Linked DNA regions of Alligator mississippiensis. Each later gene encodes a partner of the first gene's protein in a complex. Links are inferred from orthologs where the notes say so. Each region holds a gene or a part of one and is shown on either strand. Other genes may lie near its edges. The genes, in order: PRPF4, PPIH, TXNL4A and LSM6.

What was found.
Region 2: the proteins of PRPF4 (region 1) and PPIH are in contact, whole or in part, in a crystal structure (PDB 1MZW), measured with the Homo sapiens proteins. The link is inferred for Alligator mississippiensis from reciprocal best matches to the Homo sapiens genes PRPF4 and PPIH. Residues at the interface, in NP_004688.2 of Homo sapiens: Arg113, Gly116, Glu117, Pro118, Ile119, Thr120, Leu121, Phe122, Gly123, Glu124; in NP_006338.1 of Homo sapiens: Phe14, Arg26, Phe46, Cys47, Thr48, Gly49, Pro57, Ile58, Gly59, Tyr60, Lys61, Gln173, Cys174, Gly175, Glu176, Met177.
Region 3: PRPF4 (region 1) and TXNL4A share a complex: the UniProt entries of both Homo sapiens proteins name them as parts of the precatalytic spliceosome. The link is inferred for Alligator mississippiensis from reciprocal best matches to the Homo sapiens genes PRPF4 and TXNL4A.
Region 4: PRPF4 (region 1) and LSM6 share a complex: the UniProt entries of both Homo sapiens proteins name them as parts of the precatalytic spliceosome. The link is inferred for Alligator mississippiensis from reciprocal best matches to the Homo sapiens genes PRPF4 and LSM6.

Annotation. Positions count from the first base shown.
Region 1 is NC_081835.1:49,104,122-49,111,208, reverse strand, and holds the start of PRPF4 (U4/U6 small nuclear ribonucleoprotein Prp4), read left to right. Parts: upstream 1-4,086; 5' UTR 4,087-4,096; coding exon 4,097-4,213; intron 4,214-5,301; coding exon 5,302-5,479; intron 5,480-5,809; coding exon 5,810-5,996; intron 5,997-6,231; coding exon 6,232-6,319; intron 6,320-7,087. Other genes in the region: anaphase-promoting complex subunit CDC26, read right to left, coding at 3,881-3,961. UniProt on the Homo sapiens protein: Plays a role in pre-mRNA splicing as component of the U4/U6-U5 tri-snRNP complex that is involved in spliceosome assembly, and as component of the precatalytic spliceosome (spliceosome B complex).
Region 2 is NC_081836.1:1,379,692-1,386,695, forward strand, and holds the start of PPIH (peptidyl-prolyl cis-trans isomerase H), read left to right. Parts: upstream 1-3,990; 5' UTR 3,991-4,031; coding exon 4,032-4,097; intron 4,098-4,186; coding exon 4,187-4,251; intron 4,252-4,926; coding exon 4,927-4,950; intron 4,951-5,208; coding exon 5,209-5,253; intron 5,254-5,681; coding exon 5,682-5,724; intron 5,725-6,494; coding exon 6,495-6,587; intron 6,588-6,948; coding exon 6,949-7,004. Other genes in the region: CCDC30 (coiled-coil domain-containing protein 30), read left to right, coding at 76-212, 639-753, 2,424-2,491, 3,082-3,316. UniProt on the Homo sapiens protein: PPIase that catalyzes the cis-trans isomerization of proline imidic peptide bonds in oligopeptides and may therefore assist protein folding. Participates in pre-mRNA splicing.
Region 3 is NC_081826.1:113,462,526-113,470,021, forward strand, and holds the start of TXNL4A (thioredoxin-like protein 4A), read right to left. Parts: upstream 3,018-7,496; 5' UTR 2,917-3,017; intron 2,797-2,916; 5' UTR 2,773-2,796; coding exon 2,620-2,772; intron 1-2,619. Other genes in the region: probable 2-ketogluconate reductase, read left to right, coding at 3,209-3,226, 6,107-6,491, 7,063-7,234. UniProt on the Homo sapiens protein: Plays a role in pre-mRNA splicing as component of the U5 snRNP and U4/U6-U5 tri-snRNP complexes that are involved in spliceosome assembly, and as component of the precatalytic spliceosome (spliceosome B complex).
Region 4 is NC_081825.1:100,697,842-100,705,068, reverse strand, and holds the start of LSM6 (U6 snRNA-associated Sm-like protein LSm6), read left to right. Parts: upstream 1-4,216; 5' UTR 4,217-4,324; intron 4,325-7,227. UniProt on the Homo sapiens protein: Plays a role in pre-mRNA splicing as component of the U4/U6-U5 tri-snRNP complex that is involved in spliceosome assembly, and as component of the precatalytic spliceosome (spliceosome B complex).

The DNA.
Region 1 (7,087 bases):
ATACAGTGGGGTGGAGTTTTAAACTTTTATAGTATTGACTAGGGCGTCTGTTGTTGCATCTTATTTTGTGGGTTGTTTATCTGCTGCTGTATACCACTCTGAGCATTTCTAGACAGAATATACATCTAAACAACAGGTTTTCAATGCATGTCATGTGCATGTCACCACAGCTCTGCTGATTTTAGAACTAAATTGAGATTCACAATCACTCCTTACCAACCCCCCCAAAATAGACAGAATGGCTCTGCATCCACCCCACTCCCTTAGGAGAAGCCTGAGCAGCCAGGCAGGTTTCGTACCGTGCCTTGTGCGTGACATTATTGCTTCCAGAGGGAGCAGACTCCAATGTCTGTATTCTTATTGAGCATTCAGGGCCCCGTAGGTATGAAATTAGGTACTGTCAAGCCAGGTCTCTCTGTTTCTTTCTACTGCTAAATTAAAGTAAGGGTAAAGAAGAAGTTATCTCAATGTAGCACCCAAAGTAGACAGATAAGAACATAAGAACTGCCATTTACTGAACCAGACCATAGGTCTGCCAAAGCCCACATTTCCTTTGTGTGTCCAATAGGCCTGTGTCACACTGATCTACAAGACCAGGAAGAAGGCTCGGGCTGGGGGGAAGCCGGGCAAGTGTGGAGCTGTCTTCCTTTTGCTCTTCTGCTAGTGTCTCCAGGCAGAATATCACCGATCGGTGTCTACAGGCTCCCTCGGCTCGTTCAGGGGGCAGTGGGCACTGGCTGGTGCACACTGCTCCAGTGTCCCCTTCTGGCTCCTTTGTTATGAACCTGCGACCTCTCTCCCTCTCCTGCTTTTATCACAGAATCATAGAAAATTATGGTTGGAAGGGACCTCAAGAGGTCATCTAGTCCAACCCCTTGCTCAAAGCAGGCCCATCCCTATCTATATTATCCCTGCCAAGGCTTTGTCTAACCAAGGATGGAGAGGCCACAACCCCTCTGGATAACCTGTTCCAGTATTTTATTACCCTCCCAGTGAGAAAGTTTTTCCTAGTATCTAACCTAAACTTCCCTTGCTGCCCTTTGCTTTATCATCTGCCACCACTGAGAACAGTCTAGTTCAGGAGTGGGCAATGATTTTGGCTGGAGGGCCACTTAATGACTTCTGCTGAGCTGTCAAGGGTTGCACACCTAAAATCTTTTAGAATATATAATTTTAACAAATTATAAATAAAAAACAAAATTATACTAAAAATCAAATATCTAAAGCATATTTTAATTTTATTTAAAAAATATTTTTTGTCTTCGTTTATGTTTTTTGAGTAGCATATATAGAGGCAACTGCATAATAGCTCAAAATACAGTAGAGGTGAATCAATACATTGGTCTGATATTGGATCGGCACCAATATCAAGAAAATTGTCTATATCGGAAATCAGCCTTTTGTGGGTAATAAATGGCCCTTGTATGCGCGCAGCCATAGCACAACACATAGGCAGTGAGGAACACAGCCCCGGGCAGTTGCAGCTGGTAAGTCTCTTGTAGTGGAAGGGGAGTGGAGACCGGGGCAGATCAAGGCCCCTCTGGTGAGGGAGGGAGTGAGACTGGGGAAGATGCTTCCCAGCCTGGGGGCAGGGTGGGGAGAAGGGGGAGGGTATGGCACAGAGTCACAGCTGGGGGGGGAGGCAGGGAGGGGCGGGGCACGGGCATGGGAAGGGGGGAGTGGCTCCTGCCCTGCACACTGCTCATCCGGGAGCCGCTCATCCGGTGGCTCCAGCTGCTGCTCCCGTCACTCGTCCAGGAGGGCATGGGGGGGTGTGCCCCCTTATCTGTGCAGAGAAGGGTGGGCCAGGGCTGGGCCAGGCTGCATTCAGGGTGGGCAGTAGCACTGGGAGGGGGCTATGGCGGGGACTACAGCAAATTTCGGGGTGGCTGCAGCCCCTCCAGCCCCCTCCCACCGCCACCACCACCCACAGCCCAGTCCACACCCCTGCTGGGAAGAGCCCAGTGCTGTACCCTGCCCCTCCTTGCCCCTCAAGGCACACGCCCCCACCCCTGTGTCCTCCAGGGGTGCGCGCAGCAGTGGGAGCTGCCCCCACCAGATGACCTGCAGCTCCATCCTGTGCCCCACCCCACCCCGCCCCAGCTGGGCAGTGCCTGCCCCACCCCCACTCCCTCCCTCACTGCAGGGGCCTTCATCTGCACCCCCACTTGCCTTCCCCTCCCCCACCCCTTCCACCACAACAGACTTACCAGCTGCACACAGCTGTTTTGGAAATCAAAGTGGTATTTGCTAATATGTCTTCTTAAAAATTGGCTATCAGTATCAGCCCCAAAAATCTCTATCAGTGCACCCCTAAAATACAGTCTTACTCTAGTATATTGTGGGGGGTAGGGAGGCAGTGTGTGTGTATGTGGCAGAGGGCAGGGGGGTGTGAGGAGCTGCCTAGTTGCTAGGTCCTGGGAGCTGGGCAAAGGTGGGGGGCTAGGGGCAGGTGCAGCAGAGCTCAGCCAGGTGGTGCAGATGCAGGTGTGGTCAGCTACTCCCAACCCCACACCCAAGCCGCAGATGCCCCTGCGGTGCTCCACATGGGGCTGAGCCCTGCCTGGGGCAGTCCCATCTGCACCTGCTGGCTCCAGCCAGCATGCACAGCTTCCCCAACATGCACAGCTTCCCGGCAGGGCTGCAGCTGTTTAGGTATTGCTTGGTCTCCCCCACACCTCCAGCAGCTCCTCCTCCTTCTCCTGCCATATGCGCCGGGAGAGGAGAGTGGTGGGGAAGAGCTGCAGCCAGGAGGCTCCTGCCCCAGTGCACCTTCCACCCACTCTGCCTGCCCAGTGTGATGAACAGACATGAGCAGCCACCTCTGGGTGGCCGAGTGGACAGAAGATGGCTGGGAGCTGGAGGTCAGCATGCTGGGGAAGGAGCTGCCTGGCTGCAGAGTCCCTCCAGCCTGGAGTGGTGCAGCAGGGGCAGGAGGAGGAACCACTGGAGGTGTGGGAGCAGCCCCGCCAGGAAACTGTGCGCTGGCTGGGGCCGTTGGCAGATGTAGGCTGCCCTGGGCAGGAGAACAAGTCGAGCCAGGCTCCATGTGGAGCACTGCAGGGGCAGCCACAGGCTGGATCCAATCAACTGGCTGGCCGGCAGTTTGCCCACCCTGGTCAAGTTCCATCCTCTTTGTGATCATCCTGCCAGTAGCTGAAGGCTGCTATTAAATCCTCTCTCAATCTTCCCTTCTCCAGACGAAAATAAGGCCAGTGCCCTCAGCCTTTCCATAAGTCATGTCCCAGCCCCTGAGCCATTGTTGCTGCCCTCTGCTGGACTCTCTCCAATTTGTCCACATCCTTTCTATAGTTGGGGGGGGGGGGGGGGGGGGGGGCAAAACTGGACACAGTGCTCCAGATGTGGCCTCACCAGTGCCAAACAGAGAAGAATAATCACTTCCCTTGACCTGCTGGCAACACACCTACCAGTGCAGCCCAGTATGCCATTAGCCTTCTTCAGAACAAGGGCACTCTGCTGGCTCATATCCAGCTTACTGTCCACTGTCCACTATTATCCATAGTCCACTGTAACGCCCAGGTCCTTTTCTGCAGAGCTGCTACCCAGCCAGTCACCCCCGGCCTGTCCCGGTGCACGGGATTGCTCCGTCTTAAGTGCAGGACTTTGCACTTGTCCTTGTTGAACCCCATGAGATTCCTCTGGGCCCAGTCCTCCGGGTTGTCTCGGTCCCTCTGAACCCCAGCCCTGCACTCCAGTGTACCCACTACTCCCCCCGCTTGGTGTCATCCGCAGACTTGTCTTTCTCGCCTCCGCACGGCGGCGGAGCTCCCCGGGACGCCCCGCGCACGGCAGGCGGCCCCGGCCGCGGCGGCCCCTGGGACGGGAGCGCCGAGTGCGGCCGGGTCTCGACGCGCCTCACCTCGAGGTCCTTCCTGATGCTCTCGAACTCCTCGATGTCGTCTAGCTTCAGCTCCAGGCGCGTCGGCTTCCGCCGCAGCATCGCGAGCGCCACCGGCCCCGCCGCCTCTCGCCGGCAACCGGACAGCCCGGCCCCGACCGCTGCCGCAAACCTGCCCACTTCCGGCCGGCGCCTCCCGGCATACCCTGCGCTCACTTCCGGCCGGCGCCTCCCGGCATGCCCCGCGCGGCAACCCGGAACCAGTTGGGTGAAGACAGGCCCGTAGTGCGGAGAGTCCCTGCAGCGGCCGGTGTTGCCGTCGCCATGGCGTCCGCGCGGGGCCCTGCGGTGCGGGTGAAGCGGGGCTCGGGGGATCGGGGCGCGGTTGGGGCCGGGCCGGGCTGGGCTATGCGATGCGGGGTCTCTCGTTGCGTGCACCGGGCCCAGAGCGGGGGGAGGGAGTTGGCGTTTCTCCTTGTCCCTGATTGTGGGCGGCGCGGGCCCACCCCGTGAAATCTGCTTCTTGCCCGGGTCCGCCCGGCGCCGGCTCCCCGAGGTCCTGGAAGGGATCTGAATGCCCCCGGCAGGGCCATGGCCCCTGGTCCCTGGGTGAGAATCACCGCAGCGGAGGGGTGCACGGGAGTGCTGCGTAACACCGGTGGTTGTGAACACGTCGATCAGTTGTATCCCTGCAGCAGGTTTTAAGACTCAGGTAGACAAAGGGTTGGCTGGGATGATCCAGTTGAGGGGGGCCCTGCTTCAGGCAGGGGGCTGGACTGGATAAAATCGGAAAACGAGGGTTGGAGGGGACCTCAGGAGGTCACATCTAGTCCAACCCTCTGCTCAAAGCAGGACCATCTCCAACTCTACCGTCCCAGCCAAGGCTTTGTCTACCTGGGTCTTAGAAACCTCTAAGGATGCAGACGACGTCTCTGGGTAACCTGAGGCCTGTTCCAACCCTCGTTTTGTATGACTTTAGACTTAAAGTTGAAACATCCCGTTATAAATTTGGGATCATACCCTGGCAGCATTGCAGTTGCTGGGAAATTTGCTAGTAACTTACAACAGGGTTGGATTTTTGTGCCTTTATTTTTGACTTGCTGCCCAACCTTGTGTTTACTCCCTAAAAGTTGAAGGGATATGTGCTGTTGTTAAGCACAAATTGATATGAGTGCATCGGAAAGCAAGTCTGGGATATATTTTTACACGTTGTAAAGAGGCATAAATAAAGAAATCCCTGCCCGGTTTCCTTAAGCATAATTTGTGTTGAGGAATCCCTTCCCTGTTCAGAGCTAATGTTCTAGGTATAATTTCAGGGTTTCTGGTCTGGGTAGACCAGAAACCCTGAATGATTTGTGCAGCCAAAGCAGTTTGCTGAATTGCTGCTCCCAAGCCGGATACATACTGAACCAGTCTGTTAAAATCTTGCTTTTATTTTGTAGGCAACAAAAACCAAGATCTCAGACGAGAGTGATGCTCCCCCAGTCAAGAGACCTCATATCTTCTATGGAAGTTTGGAGGAGAAGGAAAGGGAGCGTATTGCCAAAGGGGAGCTGGGGCTGCTAGGAAAAGATGGGATGAAAGCTGCAATTCAGGCTGGCAACATTAACATTAGCAGTGGTAAGAACACACTCTGTATAGTGCTTTCAGCTTCTTTTCTTGCTTCTGGCTTAGAGATATTTAAAAAGACATTTTTGTTGGGGTTCAGCTCAGGGCTTTAGGACAGCCCCTGATCTGCTGCTGTGTTTTAATACAGAAATTTTGGCTGCAGAGACTACAAGCCATCCAGTATTCCATCATGATTTGAATGGGGGTGGGAAGTCCATTGCCAGCACTGACCGTCCCTACCCTAAATGGGCAAAAATATTTATAGCTTTTAATGGTTATAGTTGTCTAAGTCTCTGGTGCAGTTGTCATTGCTTCAATTTGATGGCTTTGTTTCTGGCATAGGTGAGGTCTTCGATCTTGAAGACCATATGAGTGAGCGCCAGGCAGAAGTGTTGGCTGAATTTGAGCGCAGGAAGCGTGCTAGGCAAATCAATGTTTCCACCGATGACTCTGAAGTCAAGGCCTGCTTACGAGCTCTTGGGGAGCCCATCACACTCTTTGGAGAAGGGCCTGCAGAAAGAAGAGAAAGGTGCTGTGTCTTGTCCTTTGTGTGGCCTGCCCTGTAACCAAATCATAAATCTCTTGTAAAACTCCTTGAGCTGTTGAGTGCACTGAATGCTGTTGCCCACTGTTCCTTCTCAGTGATATAACAGCAACTGATCAATTTCTTCTTCATTCACTCTTTACATCTGTCAGACATGGTCAAGAATGCCTGAGAAGTTATTGACTGAATCTTATTTAATGCTTGGTGTGTTTCATTTCAGATTGAGAAATATCCTCTCGGTGGTTGGCACTGATGCCTTAAAAAAAACGAAGAAAGATGACGACAAGTCTAAGAAAGCCAAAGAAGAGGTAAACATCTCTCCCATTCTTGGATTCTGCAGGTTATTAATGTAGAGAGAAGGAGACCATTTTATAGAAACCTTCAAATTCCTTCATGGACCATCTGTAACATTTCCAGAGCTCTGACATTGATTTTTTGGTATCATTAGACAGCCTGATAGTGTAAGGTGGACTTATCAGTATACGACTTATAGGACAGTGACATCCTAAGGCAGGGGTGGGCAAAATGGTGGATCTGGCTAGTGGTCAGACTTCTTTTCCCAGCAGCCCCTGTCCATGTTGCTACAGCCGTTTTCCATGGCTATCTCAGAAGTGGTGGCACTGTGACAGCGCGGGGCCAGGGTTTCCATGGAGACTGGCCCCAGCAGTGCTGGTAGGGCGCGTGGCAGGGCAGGGAGCTGCTCCGCAGCCAGGGCTGGGATCTTGCAGTAATGACAGTGTGGTCTGGAGCTGGAGCAGAGCCACAATCCATTGCACGTATGCCCCTGCCTGGGACTTGCAGGCAGTGTTCCCTCTAAGGAGCAGCGGTCCATGAGTGTGCCGCCTCGGCCTAGCATGGGACACTTACCAGAGGGGGCTGGGGGCTAGGGCTGGAGGCTGGAGCTGGAAGCCGGGAGCCAGGGGCTGGAGCTGGGGCCCAGGGGCTGGGCCAGAGGCTGGAGCCAGGGGCCAGGGGCTGGGCCAGAGGCCGGAGCCGGGGGCCAGGGGCTGGGGCAGAGGCTGGGGCTGAGGGCCAGGGGCTGGAGTCGGAGCCTGGTGCAGACTCCCTGGCTCCGA
Region 2 (7,004 bases), on another chromosome or scaffold:
CTTAGAGATGAAAAGCTGCAGGTAAGAGTTAGGTACTGTTGCTGTTGTTATTTCCTTATGTTTCCTTACACACAGGAACATGCGTTGATCAAGCAGGTCACCACAGAGAATGACCGTTTGCTCCAGGAAAACAGAAAACTCTTACAGCAGGTTAATGAGCAGGAAGAAGTTGGTCGGAACAACAGGCGGATCATTTCCACAATTCAGAGCAGGTGCCGTTACTTATCTCACTTTGCAGAAAGAGCAGTTTTAGCTTAGCAACCTAGACCAGAGTTCAAACCAGGAGGGCTGAAGTTCGTCTCATGGGTCTGTGCTCTGCAATGCTATTGCCCATGTAACTAATGAAACCCTTGTTCTGTGTGTGGAGTAAACCGGGAGTAACACAACCATGGCTCGGGCTAACTAACAGATGTAGTCAAGGCCGCTTCACCTGGAATGGGCTTGGCCCTGGTGGGGCGTGGAACCTGACTTCTGCAGCACGCGTCTTGTGGGGGCAGCAGGCTCAGAGAATTTACCTGAGTCCTTTCTGTGTAGAGAGGCTGAGAGCAAATGCCCCTCTGACAACATCAAGCGGTTAGAAGCCAAGGTTCACGTGCGGGAAGTAAACTGCTCTGTGTGTGTGTGTGTGACCTTCGCAGAGTGCAGTTCCTGGACAAAGAAAACAAGCGACTGCAGGAAAGCACCATACAGCTCTCCAACCAGGTTGGGGGTCTGGAGCGGGCTCTGAGGAACATTCAGACTCATGGCGTAGAGGTAAGATGGATGCGCCGTCTTTTGGTACCTTCTCCCCCATGTAGCTGCATCAGAGCAATTTCCCCCATCAGTCTCCTACCAATATACCCCAGCTTTAAGCTGGAAGGAACTTCACTGGAGTCTTGAGTAACTGTTTTACTATGATTTTCCAGAGTGAGCAGTACCCCTGATTGGGCCCTATCTTCAGTAGGAGTTACTGCATGCTGAGATCTTTACAAAACAAGGCTCACTGCCTCTGGATTTCCTGCTCGGGCTGCTATAGATAACGTGTATTATTAGTGTCTCCATCCCGTGGGGATTGGACTGAGGCCCATCAGCTCATTTCATAAAGGACACCAAATGCATGGTGGGCGGCAGGGATCTGGTTGCTCGAGTAGCTGAATTGGAGCCAGTAGCCTAGATGTGAAGGGCTGTCTCATTCCTGGGATGCTGAGGCAGGCTGTCCCTCCATCTGCTGGGTTATTAGGCCATTTTTTGCAGCGACAAAGGTTATGCTTTTTACCTTTGATCTTTTTTTGTTTTTCAGTTGTTAAAAATATCTGAATGATGGGGAAGGTCTGGGACCAAGAAAACTTTGTAAAAAGTGGGTAATTTTAGATACCTTCACAAGTGAGCCAAAAGTATCAAACGGGTGCCTGGGGACGTCTAAAATGAAGAGTTTATTTGACAAAAAACAACTGTGGATTGATGCAATGTCTGGAATAGTTTGGGCTGAAAAAACCCAGAACAGTTGAGATGGTTTGTTTTAAGAATGACAAAACATTTCAATGTTTTGCTTCAAAATGATCTTTAGAGACCAAATTTAATGCTGTTTTGGATTAACTGAAACGAAAAACTGTTTTGGATCAAACAAAATGTTTTGTTTTAGCCAAAATGGAACCTTTTTCAGGCACTTGTTTCACCTGAAATGGCGTCTCCATTTTCTCAGTGCGACTCCAGAACCGAGTAGTCAGCCATCCCCATAGCTTCGTAGCCAGGCGCTGAACGGCAGGCCCCGGTTTGCCAGGGTACCAGGCACCTCTCAGCGTTCAGAACCTGACAGTCAAGCCACTTATTTAAAACTGGGCTTTGCGATTTGGAAATTGGTGGAACTTGAATGTCCAACACCCATCTGCTCCTTTGGAAAACCTCGTCTAAGTGTCTAAATGTACTTAACTTTAGGTAAATGAATGTGAAGTGATAGCCAGTGTGGGATGGCTAGATTGGGGGAGCAGCAGTGTGGTGCTCCCATCCAGAAAGCAGTGGCTGAACCTGCTCTCGTAGTCTGTACGTTCTCCCAAGGGCACCGAGGGCTGTCTAGACTGTCACTTTTTAGGGCTTCCAGTTTGAAATAGTTCCCTAACTGGAGCAGTGCTAGTTGATGGAAATATTTCCATCAACGTCACTTGCTCATGGGACTCTTGTTCTGGGTTTTGTTTTTCCGGTCCTTTAGGAACTAGCCACTCCCTTTCATTCACAAACACCCAGCCAACCCTCTGCACACAAACTTCCTCCGTGCTGTCTCTTTCCTTGGAATTTTCTCCCGTGCATCTGAGATCCCAAGTTTCCCGTCTCTAAATACTGTGTGAAAATATCCCTTTCCTCTCTGGTTTGTTTGCAACGTGTTTATTGCCTTGAGCATGCCCTCCCTGCCTTTTATCAGTTGATTATTGTTCTGCTTCTTTTCCTAGGACTTGAGGAGCGTTGGCTTCTCTGAATGCCAGCTACTGAGTAAAATGTTGCCACTTCCAAACACGAGGTAGGTCCCGTGAGTAAAAAGGCACCAGGTCTGCTTACTAATAGCAGGTCCTGTCAGCACTGGGGAATAGGGAAGCCATGGATTCCTGTTTTCAAAACACAAGTTTCACCCTTTATTTTATTCCCTCGTGTCTTTTGGTCGTGCGGTAGGACGGAGGGGTGGAGCTAACCAGCATCTACTAGCTGCTGCCTCCTTTAGTTTGCAAGTCCCGTGGGGCTTTCTGTGACTGTGCACGGCCCCGAGCTCGATCTTTGACTGGGCCTGCAAGTGCTGCAGCAGCACAGCCGAGCACTAGTAGTTACTGCTGCAGCGAGGGAGCACGACAGACCTCACAGTTAGAGTCTCAGACCTTGCCAACAGGAGGGGGCAGTTAACGGGTCTGAATGGGCATTAGGCTCCTCGGGAGGAAGGCAGCTGAGTGCCCGTGAGGATCTGGGGTTTGGCCTGTCTCTACGTTAGACCTTTCCCGCCCCCGGGGGTAGCAGCACGAAGACCATGTGGCACGCGGGTGTGGCGGCGGTGGGGCCCCGCGAGGACGCAGCTGGAGACGCTGTTTGCAGAGCGAACACGGGGCGGGAATTCTTTTGCAGCTTCTCAGCGGCGGGGCTGTCGGACTCGCTCAGCGTGCTGAGAGCCATTCAAGAAGCCAAGTCCGACGAAGGCGCTGAAAGCCAAAAGTCCTCGTCTTCCTTATCGCCTTCTCAGCCCTCCGAGATGGGCTACCTGAACGTGGCGTCCCCCGGAGACCCCGCCAGCCTGCAGGCGCAGGAGGAGAGGCCGGGTTTCTGCTGCGACGATGTCTATGGCCCCCCGGCAAGGAGCTGAGCTCTCCCTTGCCGCGGGGCACAAGGAGGGGAGGAGCATTCGCCAAATAACGTATTACGTGGATTTTGTGACACCTCTCAACTAAATTATTCGGTGACTGGTTTTCAGCTGTTTGCCCAGCTCAACGTCTTGTCCCAAAGCTGTCGGATTTATTTTTTTTTTTAATCATAAAGTAATTCATTAAAGTGTTATTTTAAAAAATGTTTCTTCTCCGCTTGACGCTGGTTGTCTGGAGGTCCAGGGCGCTTCTAGGGGGTTTCTGAAGCAGAGGCGAGCAGCGGCTCCAGGCTCCTTCCGCACCGGGCCCGGACCCGCGCAGGGCTGCGGGGCGCCCGGCAGGCAGCACGGGTGGGCGGCCGGCCCCAGGCCTCGCTCCCGGCCTCTGGTGCCGCGGTGGCAGCCGCCCCTGCCCCTCGGGCGGCCCGGCAGCCCCAGGAAGGGCCGGGCCGGGCCGGCATGGAGAGCGGCTGCTGGCGGGTCGGGCACGAGCCCGTTGGAGCGCCTGGTGGCCCCGCAGGCAGCTCGGCACCGCCGTCTCCTGGCGGGCCCCGAACCCGCCCCGCCTTCCCCTCCCGCCCTCGCAGCCCGCCGCCTGTCGCAGCACGTGGCGCTGGCCCCGCCCACGGAGGCGGCCGCTCCCGCGCATGCTCCGCAGGGCCGGGGACTTCCGGGCGGAAGTCGCCGCCGTGTTTCCGGTTCCGGGCCGCGGGGCGTCATGTCGGTGCTGGCCTCCAACCCCAACAACCCGGTCGTCTTCTTCGATGTCACCATCGGCGGGCAGGTGCGGGCGGGGCGGCGCGGGGCGCAGGAGGGGGGCGGGGCGGGTGCGGGCGGCGCTGATGCCTCGCCTCTCCCCTCCCCGCCCCGCAGGAGGTGGGCCGCATGAAGATCGAGCTGTTCGCCGACGTGATACCCAAGACGGCCGAGAACTTCAGGTGCGGCGGGGCGGGGCGGGACCGCAGCGCGCCACCCCCCCTCCCCCCCTCCCGCGTTTCCCTGCGGGGGCCCGAGCGCCGGTCCCCGGGCGGTGGCGACCCCGCGGCGGTGCTTGGGGGAGACGTGGCGGCCCCGAGCGCGGTGCTGGGCCCGCGGTGCCCGGTGAGCCAGGCTGGTCGCTGGGTCCGTCCGGGCCCGGCCCAGGCCGCTCTCCGCAGCCAGCAGAGACGTGCGCGTGGCTGGCCGCGTTTCTCGGGGTCGCTCCGAGCCTCCGCGGGCCCGTCCCAAGCGTGCCTCGCGGGAGCGGCAGCTGAATGCCTCGGTCTCCCGTCGGCCTGTCTGACGAGAGGGCGCCCGCCGCTCCCTTCTCGACGGGCGTCACAGCCCCCCCTTCCCACTGCGGGTCTCCAGGGGGTGATGCCCAAATCCACGTTTTTGGCTCTTCCCGTTCTCGGCATCCAACATCTGATCCAGGCTGATGCCGAGAAACAGCCCTTGGGGAGGAAGGGTCGCAGTTGCTGCTGCTCCTGTCAGCAGTGTCACTTGCTGCTCGGAAGGGGAGTCCCCTCGTCCCTCTTCAGTAAAGCAGTCAGAGCAGCGGTGATTGGGTTTGGATTCAAATTCCTCTTTCAGGCGACTCATGTGCTGCGCGCTCTCTTTTCCCCTCTTTCCAGGCAGTTCTGCACGGGTGAATTCAGGTACGTGGGGTCAGCGCACCGCTCCTTTGAAGCGGCATATTGAGGTGTGTCGTGACCAGAAAGCAGAGAAGTCCGATGGTGTTTGTTCCCACCCCCGTGCTGCCTGAATGGCTGTTGCTGCCAGGTGCTGTAGGGCCGTCCCGGGCGCGGGGGGGCCCGTCGGTCCGGCACGCGGGCTCCGGGGTTCTAGCCCGACTGGAAGTGTCGAGCTGCGACGAGCGGCACCTTGCAGTGCTGTGTCCTTGTCTTTTGCTGTAGGAAAGATGGTGTCCCTATAGGTTACAAGGGGAGCACTTTCCACCGGTAAGTCAATTTCCTCTTGTTCAAAACAGCGCGGTGACCTAGACGCAGCCTGGTGCCCGGGTTTGAAAGCAGTCCCTAAAGTAGGAGGCATCCTGTAGTCATCGAGGGATAGGAGATCTGAAGAGTGTTTTCTTTCTAAAGTCTCTGCCCTGCATCTATAGTTTGGGCGACTCTGCCTCTGTGGGCCACTCTTGTACTTGCCGGATAAAAAGTATGTTCTTCTCGGTGCTTATCACCCAGGGCACAGGCAGCGCTGTCCAGCCTTTGTCCAAAGTCAGAGGTCATCCCATGTCGAGTCCATCACCTAGTCACTAGGTGCATTTTATTGTGGCATGGGCTGTTTCTCTGTCGTTTCTGAGATACTAAACTTTGTGGGAAGATGTTTCACAGAGAAGCAGTCGTTTACTTTGTTCTTAATTACTTTTCAGGGTGATAAAGGATTTCATGATCCAGGGAGGCGACTTTGTAAATGTAGGTATTATGAGTTTGTCCGTTTCCTTTCCTTAAAGATGCAGAGTGGTGTTCTTCCCATGGGGCAGTATTTAACCGTTTAACTTATTTTTGGAACCTGTTGCTTAGTGAGCGGGGATATGTAAATGAAAGACGAGGAAAGAGCGAGAGGGCATTGACGGGGGGGAAGGAGGTGGCTGGAGCCCAGAAGCCCTTTCAGCAAAGAGGGGGAATACCTGGTTAGACCCATGGAATATACTCTGGCGATGCCAAAGCCCCCCATGCCCCCACTCTGCAGCATCTCTGCCAGCTTCAGCCTCTGACAGGCGCCTCCCTCACTTGTCATCCCTCATTCTTCTAACCCGAGAGCCATCCTTGTCTTTCCTACTTGCCTTCTGTTTTCGGTGGAACGTGCACCCTGCGCAGCCCGAACTCATCCGTAACTTCATCTGGCGGGTCTTGGAGGTCTGGAATCTACCTGCTTCCCTCGCGCCGTCTCTGCGCTTGTCCTCTGGTTTCACCTGGCCTGGGGGTCGGTCTGTGACTAACTGACGTGAGGAAGGGGGAGGAGGATCAAATGCAGGATTAGGGTGGAGCGCTGACTTCTGGTTTCCAGGCTCAACAATGTTCAGATGTTTTCATTTCTAGTGTTCTTCTTAACACTGTTTTTTTCTAAATGAAAATACAGCCTCAACCTTAATTTTGGTTAACAAAGTGCTTTTCTGTTGGAATTATTTTAAAAACATGCTTTTCCTGAGATGGGATTGATAATTGCCTCCCTCCTCACACAGGGAGATGGCACTGGGGTGGCTAGTATATACCGAGGTCCCTTTGCAGATGAAAACTTCAAACTCAAACACTCTGCTCCTGGACTCTTGTCTATGGTAAGTGTAAGGCGGACAAGGTAGTAAGACTAGAAAGGTTTCTGCATCTTCCACCCATCATTTCTGAGATTTACCAGTTATTTCCTGGCTCTCAGCTCCATGGTTTGTTTTATAGAAACATCGCCAGCAGCTTAAAATTGCATAGTGGCAGTACAGAGACTGACGTGCTGGACCAGTGGTTTATTTAGTGGAGTATCTAGGTACTAAGCCGGCCCTTTGGAGGTGGATGTTAATTCCTGTGATAAACATTTCTCGTGCAGGCCAGCTGGGATGATAGCACTCTTGTTTGAAGTATCCTGGCTCCTCCAGGCTCGAGATGTTCAGTTCACTAACATATGCATGTGTTTGCATTTTAAATTAGGCAAACAGTGGTCCAAGTACAAATGGGTGTCAGTTCTTCATCACATGCTCCAAATG
Region 3 (7,496 bases), on another chromosome or scaffold:
CTTGGAACAGGTACAGTAGCCTTACCAGAGTGCCCCTAAGAACACTGTGCAATGACTAATACAGAAACACCTTCACATATGGTTATTCTGTAGAAAAAGGCACAATCATTTCTGAAAATAATTACTGACTGCCATCTGACACAAATTCAGATAATATTCCTTTTTGTTCTGGTTCTTTTTACCTGTGTTTTATTTGAGTTTGCTGACAGTTCTGCTTAACATGTCCTGTGCTGCTGCATAGTGGTACAAGTAAGAGAGGCTGTACAGTTAATCACCTATTTACATAAACAATGCTTAATTTCTTTTCAGTATCTAAACTGCTTAACAGGAGACTTACTTGTGTTCATAGGGTGTTGTTTTTCCATTTGGAAAAGCTTCACAGATTAGCACAACATGCACAGATTTCAACAAGTTTTACAAAGTCTAAATACAGTCCATTAGCAAATGCTAAGTGAAGCACAGCCTACTCCTGGGCTTTTAAATTGCTGGAAGTGTTTATTTAAAGGCATGCCAAAGTGTGTCAATATTTTAAACTATTCCAATTAAAAAGTTGCTAGTGTATTAATGTTACATTCTCTCACTTAAAAGGAATAATGACAACATGAACTTATCTATAATGTTACTACTAGTTTGGTTACACACACGCTTCTTTCTCTTTGCAGATTAAGCTATTAAATCCAGGGGTGCACCGATAGAGACGTTTTGGGCTTAAACCAATGGCCTATTTTTAATGAGCCATATTGGACAATACTGATCTGATTGATGATATGCAGTGGAGCAGCTTGGAGAGCAGCATCCAGCTGGTAAGTTTGTTGTGGGGGGCACAGAAGGTGGGAAGGGAGCGGGGCTGGGGCAGGCACTGCACAGCAGGGGTGGGGTGAGGGATGGAGCCATGAGCTGCTCGTCTGGGAAGCACACGGAGGGCAGCTCCTGCCAAGTGCACGCGGGGGAGGGGGGCATGCGCTCCTGGATCTGTGCACAGGCCACGGGTGGGCTGCTGCTGCAGGCTGGGGCAGCGCTGAGCTCTTCCCCGGGGGTTGGACCAAGCTGCGTTCGGCGAGGGCTACAGCAGTGATTGGAGGGGAGCTAGAGGGGGAGAAGGAGCTGGAGCCACCCCAAATTTGCCGTAGGCCTGATCCCAGCACCGCCACTGTCCACCCTAAATGCAGCCCTGGCCTAATCCCCCCCACCAGGAAGAGTCCGGCGCTGCCCCTGGCCCCGGCCCACAGTGGCTGCCTGCCCTTGCCCTGTGCCCAGATCCGGGGACACACGCCCCACCATACCCTCCCACAGTGCGTGCAGGGCGGGAGCTGCTACCCCCTCCCCATGTCCTCCAGATGACCTGCTGGAGGCCCCATCCTGTGCCGTGCCCCAGCTATGCAGTGCCTTCCCCTGCCCCAGCCCCACTCCTGCCCTCACTGCAGGGGCCTCAGTCTGGCCCCCCTCACACCCCTTCCCCCACAACAGACTTACCAGCCAGACCAAGCTGTGCTCCACGCTACCAGGCTCCACTCCTGGCTTCCTGCATGCTGTGCCACAGCTGCGTGTGCGCACAGGGCATTTATTGGCAACATTATCAGCCACATCAACCAAAAAAAAGTTGATTGCCAATACTGTCAATTTTCCTTATATTGCTGCTGATCCAAGATGGGGCAGATGTATTAGTGCACCACTAATTAAATCCTTATCTATTAACAACAAATAGAAATCAATGTTTTAATTTAACCGCACTGTTTCCATTTGACTGAATGTCAAAGAACATGTCCCTTTTTAGTATCTGATGAAATGAGCTCTTGCTCTCATGAAAGCTTATACATCTCTGATTCAGTTAGTCCAGGGGTGTCAAACTCATCAAGCGCTGTGAGCCAGGGTGAAAGGTGAGGGGCTGGTCCACCGGCTGGATGAATGGAGCAGGACCGATCCATGGGCCAGACCGGGCTTGCAGACCAGCCCTGCATGCTGAAACCAGCATGAGGGTGAGCAAAGGATGGGCGCTACATGCAGTGGGTGCCCTGGACTGGCTGCACGTGCTACATGCAGCACGAGCCCCAGACTAGTTGTGCACTCTGCAGGAAGCACGTACCCAGCACAACCCCACATGCCGTTTCGCCCTGGCCTCATGTGCCGCATGCAGGGTGCAGGGCTGACCCAGCGCACGCAGCACACGAATCGTGGGTCCACTCCAAGACCCGCAGGCAGCACCACAGGCCAGATGACAGGACGCTGCAGACCAGCTCAGTTCTGCAGGCCCTATATGTGACACCCTTGAGTTAAACCGTCCAAGTGGGGGCCAAGTGCTTTGGTAGGCATGCCATGAGACCTGCACCCTTCGCGAGTGGGACTCTAATCTTTTTCCAAATTTGCTGCTCTGCTTTCCGCTCCCTGCTTGCTCCCACACTTTGCCTTTTGTTCCCTGCCTGACCTGCTGTTTACCACACACGGAGCCTGCCTGTGCCACAGGTTGGCCCCGCCACATCTGTCCGGCATGTCTCTCCCCTGCCTCCTGCCAGAACATGCTGGGCAAGGGCGGGAAATGCACCATCCCGCAGACGGACAACTTGGTGGCCAACAAAGTGCCCGAGGCTGCGTGGCCTCTGCCGGGCACCAGCCCACACCCACCTTCTCGGCGATGCTGTACAACACCTCGTCCATCTTCATGCACGTGGGATCCCAGTCGTGGCCGAAGCGGATGACCACCACGCGGTCCTCCTCCGACAGGATGGCCTGGTCCACCTGCCAGCCATTGTGCAAGTGCGGTAGCATGTACGACATAGCGGCGGCCGACCTGCGCGAGGCCTGCGGACCACAGGGTCGCGAATGAGGGGGGAAATCCCGCGTGCCCGCCCCTCCCCCACCTCAGCCAGACCCCGCGCCCCTTCCAGCACGTCCCGCCCCGCCCTGTCCCGGGACACTGACCTCCGCCCCCGACCGCGGAGAAGACGCGGCCCCGCCGCAGCAAGCCCACTCCTGCGACCGGACCGAGATACAACGCTCCCGCTCAGCCCAACTCCCGGCGTCGACGTAGGAGGGTGGAGCGGAAGTGACGCGAGCGCGTTTCTGGGCCCGGAGTGAAGGCAACAAAGAAGCGCTTCCGCCCTGTCTCGGCCGGTGCCTGAGCCCTGAGGGGCTGCGAGGCTGGAGGAGACTCGCTGCTTCCTTTCGCCCACCGGACTGTGTAAGGCGAAGCGGGGTAGAATCACATCTTGGAATGTACCAACCCCACAGTGTGCGTGTGATGGATTAGGACTACAGTTTGGAATATACCAACTCCCAGACAGAGAGTGTGTGTGTCGGGTAGTTTAGAACTACGGCTTGGAACATACCAACTTCCAGAGTGTGGGGGGAAAGTAGGGAATGAAACACAGGTTGGAACATGCCAACCCCCAGAGTGTGGGGGGGAGCCCAGGCCATACCACCAGACGAACAAATGCTGCGCCCCGGGCAATCAGGGCGCCCCCAGGCTCTGGGAGGAGTGGGGGTTGCTGCACTCCGGGGCGGTACGGCGGCCGGGCGACCATGCTGTGCGTGGGCTGGGGGCGTGGTGCGGCCCGGGCTTACCTGTGGGTGGCCGTGGCCCTTCCCCGCTTGCGCGGCGAGCGGCAGAGCAGCCGGACGGGCCTGGGCGCGCGCAATTGTCGGCGCGCCGGGGTGGGTTGGGGGCAGGGGGCGAGGCGCGGGGCCTCCTCACCCCTGCCTGGTCTCGCATCTGGGTGGAGCAGGGGGCGCAGGTGGATCAGCGTGGCTATGTCTTAAATATGAAATGGTTTGTCAGAAGCTCAAAATGATCGGATTTGCTGAAAAATTGTCTACACTGAAAAAATATGCAAAATAGATATGCCAAATAAGCATGCAAATGAGCCTTATTTACTTTTTATTGCTTATTATAAGTCAATGAGTGGGTGAGAACTGGGTCTTCAAGTTGAAGCATTTCTTTATTTCGAGGCATAAGAAAGCGCCAGTAGCAAACCCAAAAGTCGGGTAAGACTGAGAGTGAAGTGGGTTTTGCGTATGCTGCATCAGTTTGCTGCCTCCAAAATTACTGTATATTTTGAGCACTTTTACTATTATTGATGGTACATTGTACAAGGGTTGAAATGATGGTTCTGATATGGTAATGATTGTACACCTGGCAACACTGAGGTGGATCTGCCCGAGGTGGCTCGGGTCAGGCAAGAGTATGATGTGGGGTCAGGCCAGCCCCGTGGTGTTCCCCCGGGCTCCAGACTCTCAGCAGCAGGGGGGCAGCCACCGTTTCCCCATGGTCACCAGGTTTCCAGCCCGCCCTGGGCTGATGAGGCTGCTCCAGGGGCCGGGTCTCGGGCATCACCCCGGGGTCAAGCAGCCCCCAGTCTAGGCACAACAGTGGGAAGCTCAGTGCAGGCTTTCAGCTGTGTGGGGTAGTGTTGAATGGGCCTGGGTTGTCAGAGGTTTCTCCCTTTGGCAACCCAGTCCCATTCAGCAATACCCCAAGCCTGGCGTGGAGACCTGATGCACTGGTTGCACTGGAACAAAGGATCGTGAAGCGCAGATCAGAGAGTAATGGCAAATGGTGGCTCCCATCTTTTTTAGTAAAAGCATGGCAAGGTGGAGGGGGAAAGCAACTTGGGCTCGTGGGTTTGCGCGCAACTTGGCAAGCTATTTGCACATCCGGCCTCCGCACAAATCATTTTTCTTACTCCTGTTGACTGTATAGAAAGTTCTTCTAAATCATATACAGATGTGAATCTGATTCGGATCAGTCGCGTATTGTATGCATGTATGAGGAAGCCTCGAGGGCTAAGAACAAATGGTGTAATACATCGGAGAGTTTTGCTTTTCATTTTAAGGATCATCAGTTATTTCTGGGGAATGTAAGCGGTATTGTTCTTCATGACCTGTACCAGCTGCAGGTCTTTACCGGGCAAGGCTGCCACTGAGTTCCAAAAACATGTCAGGTAGCAAGCCACTCAGCTCTAAGTAGGATGATGTGGCTGAGAAACAAGGACTCTGAGAACTGTGTACTAACTGGATTACTTTGTTAGTGAACTAACCTCATTTTCTTATGGTGCCAGTCCAGAAACTGTCATTACATTAAATGCACAAACAGCCGATTTGATGCAGGGAACCATAAGAACGGCAAATTAAGTCTATTAATTAAGAACTATCAAATTAACAGTAGGTCGGTTGTTAGAGCAGGAGCATGAACGGCGCATGCCCCCAGCAGCTGGGCGGGGCACAGCTGCGCTGGTGGCAGCAGGAGCCCGGTGGTGGTAAGCACAGAGCTCCCATAGATGCAGCTGGCACTTGCAGGGGGTGGGTGGCGAGCACTGACCAGGAGTTGGTGACCACCCCCAGGTGCTGCCGGCGGTGGCAGCCAGGGGTGATCGTGGACCGCCCACAGATGCCACCGGCGGGGTGGCAAGGGGTGACTGCCTGCAGGGGGTGGTCTTTTTGCAGGGGGTGCATCACCACGCTCAGGGGGTGGACACGCACCCATGTGCACCCCGTACGCATTGCCCCTGAGCAGGAAGTGGTCTTCAACCGTGTGATTTAAAGGAAATTTCTTAGTCATCAAAGACTACAAACTGCATGTGCCTGAATATCTGGGTCCGGCCAGTGTGTGCTCGTGAGACCTAAATACATACCCAGCCACCCACACACACAAAGCAATTCATGCAGAGAACTTAAAATAACTCTTAGCTATCCCTGTTTCATGAATCTTGATTATTATTGATATACATTTTCAAGAGTGATAGCGAAGAGCTATGAGAGTTGCGTGGAATGAAAGTAACTTGAGACTAAAATGATTGATGGCTTTTGAAGTGAGAGACATTGGATATGGAGAAGCTAAAGGATAGCAAAGCATGGATAATCAAAATTATATAGGGCCATGCCCTCCAAGAGATTCTAGATCTGAAGTCAGGAGGGCCAGATTTCAGTGGTGGAGCCTGATCCCACATCTTTCAATTAAGGATCACTGCTAATTTGTGAGTAGGTTCACATTGTGTTATTGAGGATAGTATTTATTTCCATTAAGTGCAAATTTACAAGTGTGGCTATAGCTGCTCCCTAGCAAATTGTTCATTTCTCATGTATAAGGGAACATTTCTCTTAATCCTTTTGGCAGGTCATGGGAGACCAAGAACTGCCTGGTGTTCTGATCCTTGGAGTTGGAGGAGTAGAAGGTGTTCTGGAAAACCATGTGGGGCTCCTGAAAAAGAACTTTCACCTTATCACCATGAAGGAATTTCTTGAAAACAAAAAAGAACTGAGTGAAAAAATCAAATCTATTTTCATATTTGAACGCAGACCCACCATTGACCGGGGACTCCTTGAAAGCCTGCCTAACTTAAAGGTGATTGCCAACTCCGGAGTAGGAGTGGATCACCTGGACTTGAAACTGATTTCTAGCTTTGGAGTGAAAGTGACTAATACTCCACAAGCTGTATCTGACTCCACAGCAGATACAGGGATGGCCCTGATGTTGGCATCTGCCAGAAGACTAGTGGAAGGTAACCTTTTTAATTCCTTTGCTGATGTTTTTCTTCCATTTGAGCTTGTTTTGGCATTTTCCATTTTTCACTTTGTCATCGTTCACCTGGCTGAAATACTTTTTAGGAATCTATTTAGGAAGAAAAGCACTGAGGATTCAGCTTTTCAAGTGGTGCTGCTTTTCTGTTTTTTCCTCTTATACCTTGTACCCAAACCTGCTCCAGCACAAGTCACTGTTCACGAGATTAAGGCCTCTGTCTAACCTAAGTGCAAACATCCAAGAAAACGTTACAAACAATGAAGAATTCATTCAGCAAAAATCAACGTATTGGAGACATAGGATCAGGAGGAATCCCCTGGGCCACTGAGACCTTATTCCCTGCTATTGTATGCAACTTTCATACATCACTTTAAAAAACTGGTCAAACTCCATCTTAAAAGTACTTGGATATTTGACACCCCCTTTACTCCTATGAACTATTCCAGAACTTCATTCTTTTGATGGTTTTGTGAACATTCCTTCTCTTTTTAATTTCCATCTTAAATTCCTTCATAATCGGTTTATTTCAATTTATTCACTTTTTTTTTTAGGTTGTCAGATTGCAGTTTCTCCAGACACTGAGCGTTTTGCTGTTGACTGGCTGGGAGTGGAAGTCACTGGGGCTACCCTTGGGATCATTGGAATGGGCAGGATTGGCTATAAAGTGGCCAAGCGGGCCAAAGCCTTTGACATGAAAATTCTGTATCACAACAGGAACCGAAGGTACAAGCACATTTATTCTGACTTGAGCTGAATCTAAGATATTTTGATAATTTAAAATGTTATTTATAGAGCATTTTCTTCCAACCCCTCCCCCGTTTTTGCTAGTTGAGGCTCAAATTCTCTTTGACTTAATTAATTAAATAGTTCTCTTGTTGCCAGGCTCAGAAATTTCAACATGCCCTCCTAGAATGTCAGGTTGAGCAAAAGCCAAACTTCTGAGGCACAAGAGTTAATGTATAATAAACTCAAACTCTTGGAAACC
Region 4 (7,227 bases), on another chromosome or scaffold:
AAAAATCTCAGATTTAAGCGGTAAGAGTTTTTTCCTATGAGCCTGAGTAGCTTTCAGCAAATCAGGAAATAATGCACATTAAAATTCTGACAATTATTTTTTCCCCTCCTATACCTTTCAAATTTGTGCATAATTCTCTTTCTCTTAATGGGAAAATTGAGCAGTACTGTTCCTTTGCTGTTGAAGAAGATGACAAGAGAACAATTCTGGGAGATTTTTTTTCAGAAGTTTGCTGTTTAATTTAAATACCTTGGATATCTGATGAGGAAGAATCTTTGGGTCTCTTCTTAAAACCCTGTATAGCTCAGGTTGAAAAGCGGGATGCTTCATATCTCAGTTTTGTTTCAGAACAACTTAGAGCATGCTAGATTCTGTTGCCCAACATATTGTGGAAAAATTCAAAGGGAACTGCAGCAGATGGATTCAGTACAGGCACAGCTGTGGCTCTGCTTTAGAAGAATGACAGAGATTAAGGGTTATGCATACCTGGGGAAAAACTGTATTTTGGGACAAGTTTAACTGGGAGAAGATGCTAAACAAGTAGCAGCCCCTCCCATCCAGTGATAATGATCCAAGACCCCTAACTGGTGGAGAGGCCTCCTACTGGCATGCCATGCCTTTATAGAGTAGGGATGTTCAACCTCCAGCCTGAAAGGCCATGTATGTCATTTGGTCCGTGGGTGCTGCCATGGGTCCAAAAAATTTGGCAGTTGGGGAGTGGTGGCAGTGTTAATTGCAGCTTCCTTGCTGCCAGATTTCCAGACCCATGGGGAGCTCTGTGCCAGATGACATACCTTGTGTACTAAATTATGCTGGTGTGTGGGGTCAAGCCAGTTTGCAGCCAGATCTGGAACATGGGGTCCGGTCACTATGCAGCAGGATCAGACCGGTATCAGACACTATGCAGCAGGATCAGACTGGTCAGTAGCCAGATCTGGTGCATGGGGTCAAGATGGTGAGTGGCTGGATCTGGTGTCCCAGATTGGGACATGTGTGGTGTCAGGCCAGTATACCAGATGGTACCCACAGACCAACTCCATGCATCGGGTCCAGCCCATAGACTGGTCCCTCACCACTCCCCAGTCTCTCACCACTCCCCTGGCCTGAGGGGCTTAAAGATTAAGCACCACTGTTATAGAAGTACTACTGTTATATTATTTCATAATAACAAGATCACTGTTACAGATGTTGTGTGGGCAGTCATGGCATGACAACTAAGAATGGGATGCTGAATAGACAGAAAGAATTAACTAGACTAGATGGCACTAAACCTAGAGTAGACACCTCCAGAAAAGCTTGAAAAGCATGCTGTAGACTCAGTAAGACGGGGTGGGCAAAATATGGCCCTTGGACAGGATCCAACCTACTGAGGGATTTTTTTCTGGCCTGTGGCAGGTCCCTTGGTTCCACCCAGCCCAGGGGCCAGCCTGGGCTGTGGTGCTTATGCCCAGTCCTGCCACCTCTGGGCACGCAGCAGGGCTATGTCCAGGGCTGAGACCAGGATCTTGGGGTGCTGACAGCATGGGGCTGGGGCCTGCACACCCCTTGCCTGTGGAACCCATGCCCGGGACGCAGGGCAGTGAGAGCAGTGGATCGTGGCTTTACCCTGGCCCCATGCTGTCAATGCCCCACAATGTGCCCTGTGATCCCAGTTTCACCTGCCTGTTTCACTCCTGGACACTGCTCCCTGCTCGCTCACGGACCCATCCCATCCACCCTGCCATGTGCAGAGCAAAGCCACATAAGGAGTTTTGGTGAGATGTTGCACAGGCAGGGGAGTGCTGACCCAGCTCACAACAGCTCACCAAAACTCCCAATATGGCCTGTGGGCCCAAATAACTGCACACCCCTGCAATAAAAGGAGCTTGAACGGCTGCAACTTCTGCTTTGAAAACAAAAGAGTACATTCCACTGCTATCAATCAAGCATCTTTCATAAGCATGGCACCCACACAACACATAATAAATAGAAATAAAATATTTGTACAAATACAGTTCATCTTAAGCACCGTTAGGCTAATGGGTGAACAGTGCATGAGGGAGATGTTCTAATATCAGCTGTAAGCAGGTATATGAACCAAACATGAGCATGGCTGGAAGGCATTCACATCACACCACCTGCAATGTTACCTTTCCTCTGGCATTCCAGCACCTCAGGTATGACCAGCTATAGTAAAAAAAGCAAGACAAAGAAGTCAGTGGTTTGGAAAGTTGACCATCATTTAAAAATATTTACAGCCTCTGAAAAGAGAAGCATGGGCCAGGATGCACATTCTGCAGGGATCTAAAATTAACAGTGTTGCAAGAAAGCACCAGCAAATTGAATGGGAGGACACCCTTCCTTACTGGCTCACAGCCCCATGTTAGGAAGGGCTGATTTACCATCCTCTTCTAGCAGAAGTCTGCCCGTGGAGAGGTGGTTGCAAACATGCCCCAGCACACATAGCTCAGGGGCAGATCCGAGGGAGTGCACTCACACCCCACTTTGATTCCTGCTCTACACAAAGTTTAAAATGAACTGCCTGGCAGTAGCAGCAGCATTTCTAGTCAGGCATTGCTCAGGGAGTCAATTGACTCGATAGCTCAGTATCATCCCACCTGGTTCCATCTAAATTCTTCATTCCACAGGTGTTAATGGCTTCTTTCCATGGGTCTTGATGCTCCACCAAAAACGCTATCCTTTGTTCTGCCATTCTGCTGTCTGTTCCCTGCTCCTGATACTGAAGCTCCTAATTCTCAGCTTTGCAGACTGTTTTTAACTCATTCCTATGAAGTTAGGTTTGCTTTTGCTTCATTCTTAAACTGAGTAACACAGCCCTAGGCCTGTAGTGTCTACATGAAGCTTCTAATTTCTTTTTAACTGAAGAAAGATAAATGCTGTTATATGTGATGATGCACCTCACCGTCCCCATGCCCCCTTTCCAAATTCCACGTCTGCATACACTTCACAGCACAAAGAGAAGAGGGAGCTTTAGGGGCAGAACGTGCGACTTTAACCTTGGACTCTAATCTGAGGCCTTCTGTATTAAACCAGCAGCTGACTATGACTAAGGTGACTGCTGGCATCCACGTCTTAGCAGCAGGAGCAGGCAGAGAGGGAGGCTGAGGTCCTCAACCTTTTTAGACTCATTAGCCTTTGGGAAATGCCAGCTCTTCTGTATCTCATCCAGCACACTACATGCCCTGATGGAAAATATGTAAGAGAAACCAAGAAATAACTGTGCACCAGAATGAACACACACCAGAAATCTATGAGAGACAGAAATACCCAAGCACCTGTGGGTGCACACTTCTCACAACACACCCACTCTCTCTCCAGTCTCTCACTTCTCATCCTCAAAGATAATGTACAAAACACCTTTCACAGACGAGCCTATGAACTTCACTTCTTCAATGTACTGGATACAAAAAATCATGGACTAAACAGACATTAGATTTACAGTACATTATAATCTGCCTGACCTTCAATAACCCCAGGTAACCTCTCTACATTTTACCAGCTACATTATCACCAGGTCAATAATCCCCCACCCCTACACCTGCCTCACACCTCTTGTCCCCCATGGCCTCTGATCCTCGCTGCCATTGCATTTGCATTTTTGCAGGCCTGCATTTTACACGTTGGCTTCTGTTCCATCCAGGAGAGCACGAAACATCCACAGACTCTTCCTGTGCCTGAAGAAGGGTGCTTGTGCCCAAAAGCTTGCAAAGAACAATTTCCCTAACTATTTAGCTGGTCTAATAAAAGATATCATTTATTGAAAAAGCCTTGTGTGCCTATGTCCTTAAGCTAACACGGCTACAACACCCCCCCAGCTCTTCGTTTTCGCTCTTTATTTAAGGACAGGAGAGTAGCAGGGCAGGGTTTCTGCTGCACAACCACAGCCAGGGCTTCCTAGGGGCCATCCCGGGGCTCAACCTGTGAAGCAGCTTGGACAGGATCCCAGGTACCACTGGGCCAAGACACCCTGGCTGAGCACCCCTGGACTAAGAAGACTTGCTGGGCTGGGCTGGGCTCGGCTTGGCTGAGCCGCCGTGCACGGAGCCCAAGGCAGCAAAGCAGCGGCCTCAGACCCTTAAAAAGGGCACTGGAGGGTGGGTGCGGAAGCTTTGCAATGGGCAGATCCCATTGGGGCGGGGGCGGGACCCTGCCGAGCGCAGAGCAGCGCAGCGGCTTCACGTGCTGGCCCCGCCCCAAGTCCCCAGCAGAACGCGTTCTTGTCCAAGCAGGGAGTTCTGGTCCCGGCAGCTCGCCGTAGCAAGGCGTTGATTGGCTGTTCGTGCGCCCGGCAGCTTTCCTAGCCAGCGGGTGGAGCAGCGCGCGGGTGAGCGAGCTAGGGCGCGCGGGGCAGGGGCAGGGGCCGGGCCGCTGCCGGCCAACGGCAGTGAACTGCCTGGCGCCGTAGCCTGGGCGCGGGGCGCCTCAGGCTGGGAGCGGTGGCTCGATGCTGTGGCGCGGTGCTGTGGCGCGCAGGCCGAGCTTGCGCATGCGCATGCCGCGGCGGCGGCAGGGTCGGCTGCTGCGCGCGCACCCCGCTGGGTCATGACCTGCCCTGCCCTGCCCTGCCCTGCCCTCCCTTGCGCGGGCGCTGACGGGAACGGGTGCGCGTGTTTGTGCATGCGTCTGCATGCATGTGTGTTGTGTGTGTGCATGCGCCTATGCTTTACATCTGTGCCGCACAGCACAACACGAGGATCAGGCAGTTTTCGTCCAGTTTTATTTTAGGAAGGTGCATTTCGGTCCCCCCCCCCCCACTGCAGCGTCCGACAGCAGATCCACGTCCCGCTCCCCAGAGCTGCCCCTTTCTTCAGTCTCCTGCTGCCCCTTCCGTCTCCTGGGACAGCCGCTGATAACTAACCCCTGCTCCTTGCTTTCCCCTGCCAGCTGCCTGGGGAGCTGCACCTCAGTGTCCACTTGGATCATCTCACATGTGTCATGGAGGGGCTCTGGCTGTTGCTGGCTCTGTTTTGCTAATTTTTCTCCCCCGTACTGGTCCGGAGGTGCCCAGCATTAGGTGCACAGTGGCCTCTTTGAGACCTGTGCAGGCAGTTTGCGACTGGCTCATGTCCAGCTTTGTGTTTACTGCCAGCCTTGGGTTTCTTCTAGGATTTTGGCTTTCCCCTCAGCTCTTTCCTCTTCTAATAACTCTTCCTTTAGTGCAGTGTTTCTCAGCCTGGGCCCTGCGTCACCCTGGAGTGCCTTGAGGCCCTTTTAAGGGTGCCGTAGAGTGTTAGCACTGTTTGGTGTGCAGGCAGCGTTCATACGATAAACACGGAGATTTCAAATGGAAACCCAGTGTCAAAGCCGTTCTGCCCTGTTGTGGTCTTGCAGAGGTCTTTGCAGCAGAAGAATTGCTCTGTTATTTTTCTCTGGTGAAAAAATAGTGAGATCTAAGAGCTGGCATTTTCCCAGGGGTGCCTCGGGTCTATCAAGGGGTGCCTCAAGCCTAAAAAGGTTGAGAACCACTGTCCAAGCCTGTTTAGTAAGGGTTTATTAAGGACCCCCCAAAAAAAATCTGTTGATGAAAAAACTGATTGAAAGGTTTAGCTGGTGTTGTCAAGTCACACCTGAGCTTTATCTTTTATTGCCTTTCATCTTCTTGTGATGACTTCTTTCATGTGCCCCTGGGGGGTCACAAGAAAGAATGACCATAAGCTAGCAGAGAGCAGATTTAGACTGGACATTTAGGAAGAACTTCTTCACAGTTAGAGTGGCCAAAATCTGGAATGGGCTCCCAAGGGAAGTGGTGCTATCCCCTACCCTGGGGGTCTTCAGGAGGAGGTTAGATAGGCATCTGGCTGGAGTGATCTGAAACCAGCACTCTTTCCTGCCTATGCAGGGGGTCGGACTCGATGACCTATTGAGGTCCCTTCCGACCCTAACATCTATGAATCTGTGTTTATTTTCACATTGCAGAGTAATATGTTAATAAGTTGGTAGGGAATTTCATTTTTCAGCAGCTTGTCACAGACTATGTATTTTACAAACTAGTCTCTGGTGTTCACCGGAACCCTTGTCAGTAGTCTGTCTAGAGTTGGCTGTCTTTACTAATATCCATTTTATTACTATCAGTAGTAGAAAGCTTCGAGCATGTAAAGCAGCTAGGTATGAGCACATGGCAGCTGACTCTGTTATAGGGTGTCTGTAGATGTGCTGGGAAGCTGCTCCAACATGCTGAAATTACAGACTCGATTAATTGAGTCTGATGGAGTTTGCCAATTAGTGTGCGCCATCCAGCCTCCACCTCTTGTGTACTGGTGTCCCCACACTTCAAAATGGCAGCAGGGGCACTTTAGACAAACTTTTGTTAACTGAGAGCTGTTCTAATTGAAGCCCTAATTAAAGCCCTTGGAGAGCTGCTCTAATTAAAGCACCCTGGAGCACGTGTAAAAATGCCAGTAGTTTTCAACTACTGAAGAGGAAGAGAAATGAGGCATCTACAGAGCTGCCATCCACTAGTACCTGCATCTGGTCCATGGGAAAAGGGAGTTAAGTTGCAGGGGAGAAAGTGTCCAGAGAAGAGAGAAGAGGACTAATCATATGTTGAAAAACAGAGGAGGAGAGTTAAAGTCTCTCAGATTTTTTCTGGTTTGAAGGTAGAAGATTGTTTGTAAGTAAATTCCAAAATACTCCTTCAGATTTCCAAGTAAGCGTTGTCTTGTCCTCCCCACCCCCTGCAGAACACTGACTTGGTGGGACTTTTCTATCACTAAAATTTACCAAGCGTTTGGAAACTAGCCATTGATTTTAGAGTTGTCATCTTTCAGATTTTTGCAGTTGTAATTCCTGCAGCCGTTAGAAGATGAGTGAATAATTCCTTGTGACCTCTGTAAGTGCAGAGTTCATAGGAAGGTTCAACAGGAACACTAAGTGGTTATCTTGTTAGTTGGCATCCTTTTATTTCCTTCACCATGTCTCCAGCCTGCTTCCAGAACAGTCTGATTCTGGGACATGTGCATCACATGTAGTGGAATGTTCCCCAAACAACCACACTCCCTCCAACATTTGTCTCTACCATAAAAGCATTAAATTTTGAGTGGCGTGAGAGAGCACTGATATAAGGTTTTAAAATAATTTTCTTTTATTATTGTGTGGGACCATTATTTCAGATGGTCTCCCATTTTTTCAGTACTAATTTCTGATCCAATGGCGTAAGCCCACTTTGCCATAAATTGAGTTTATTCATTTTCTGTAAGGAACAAAACATGGGTAGCCATGAACAGTTAC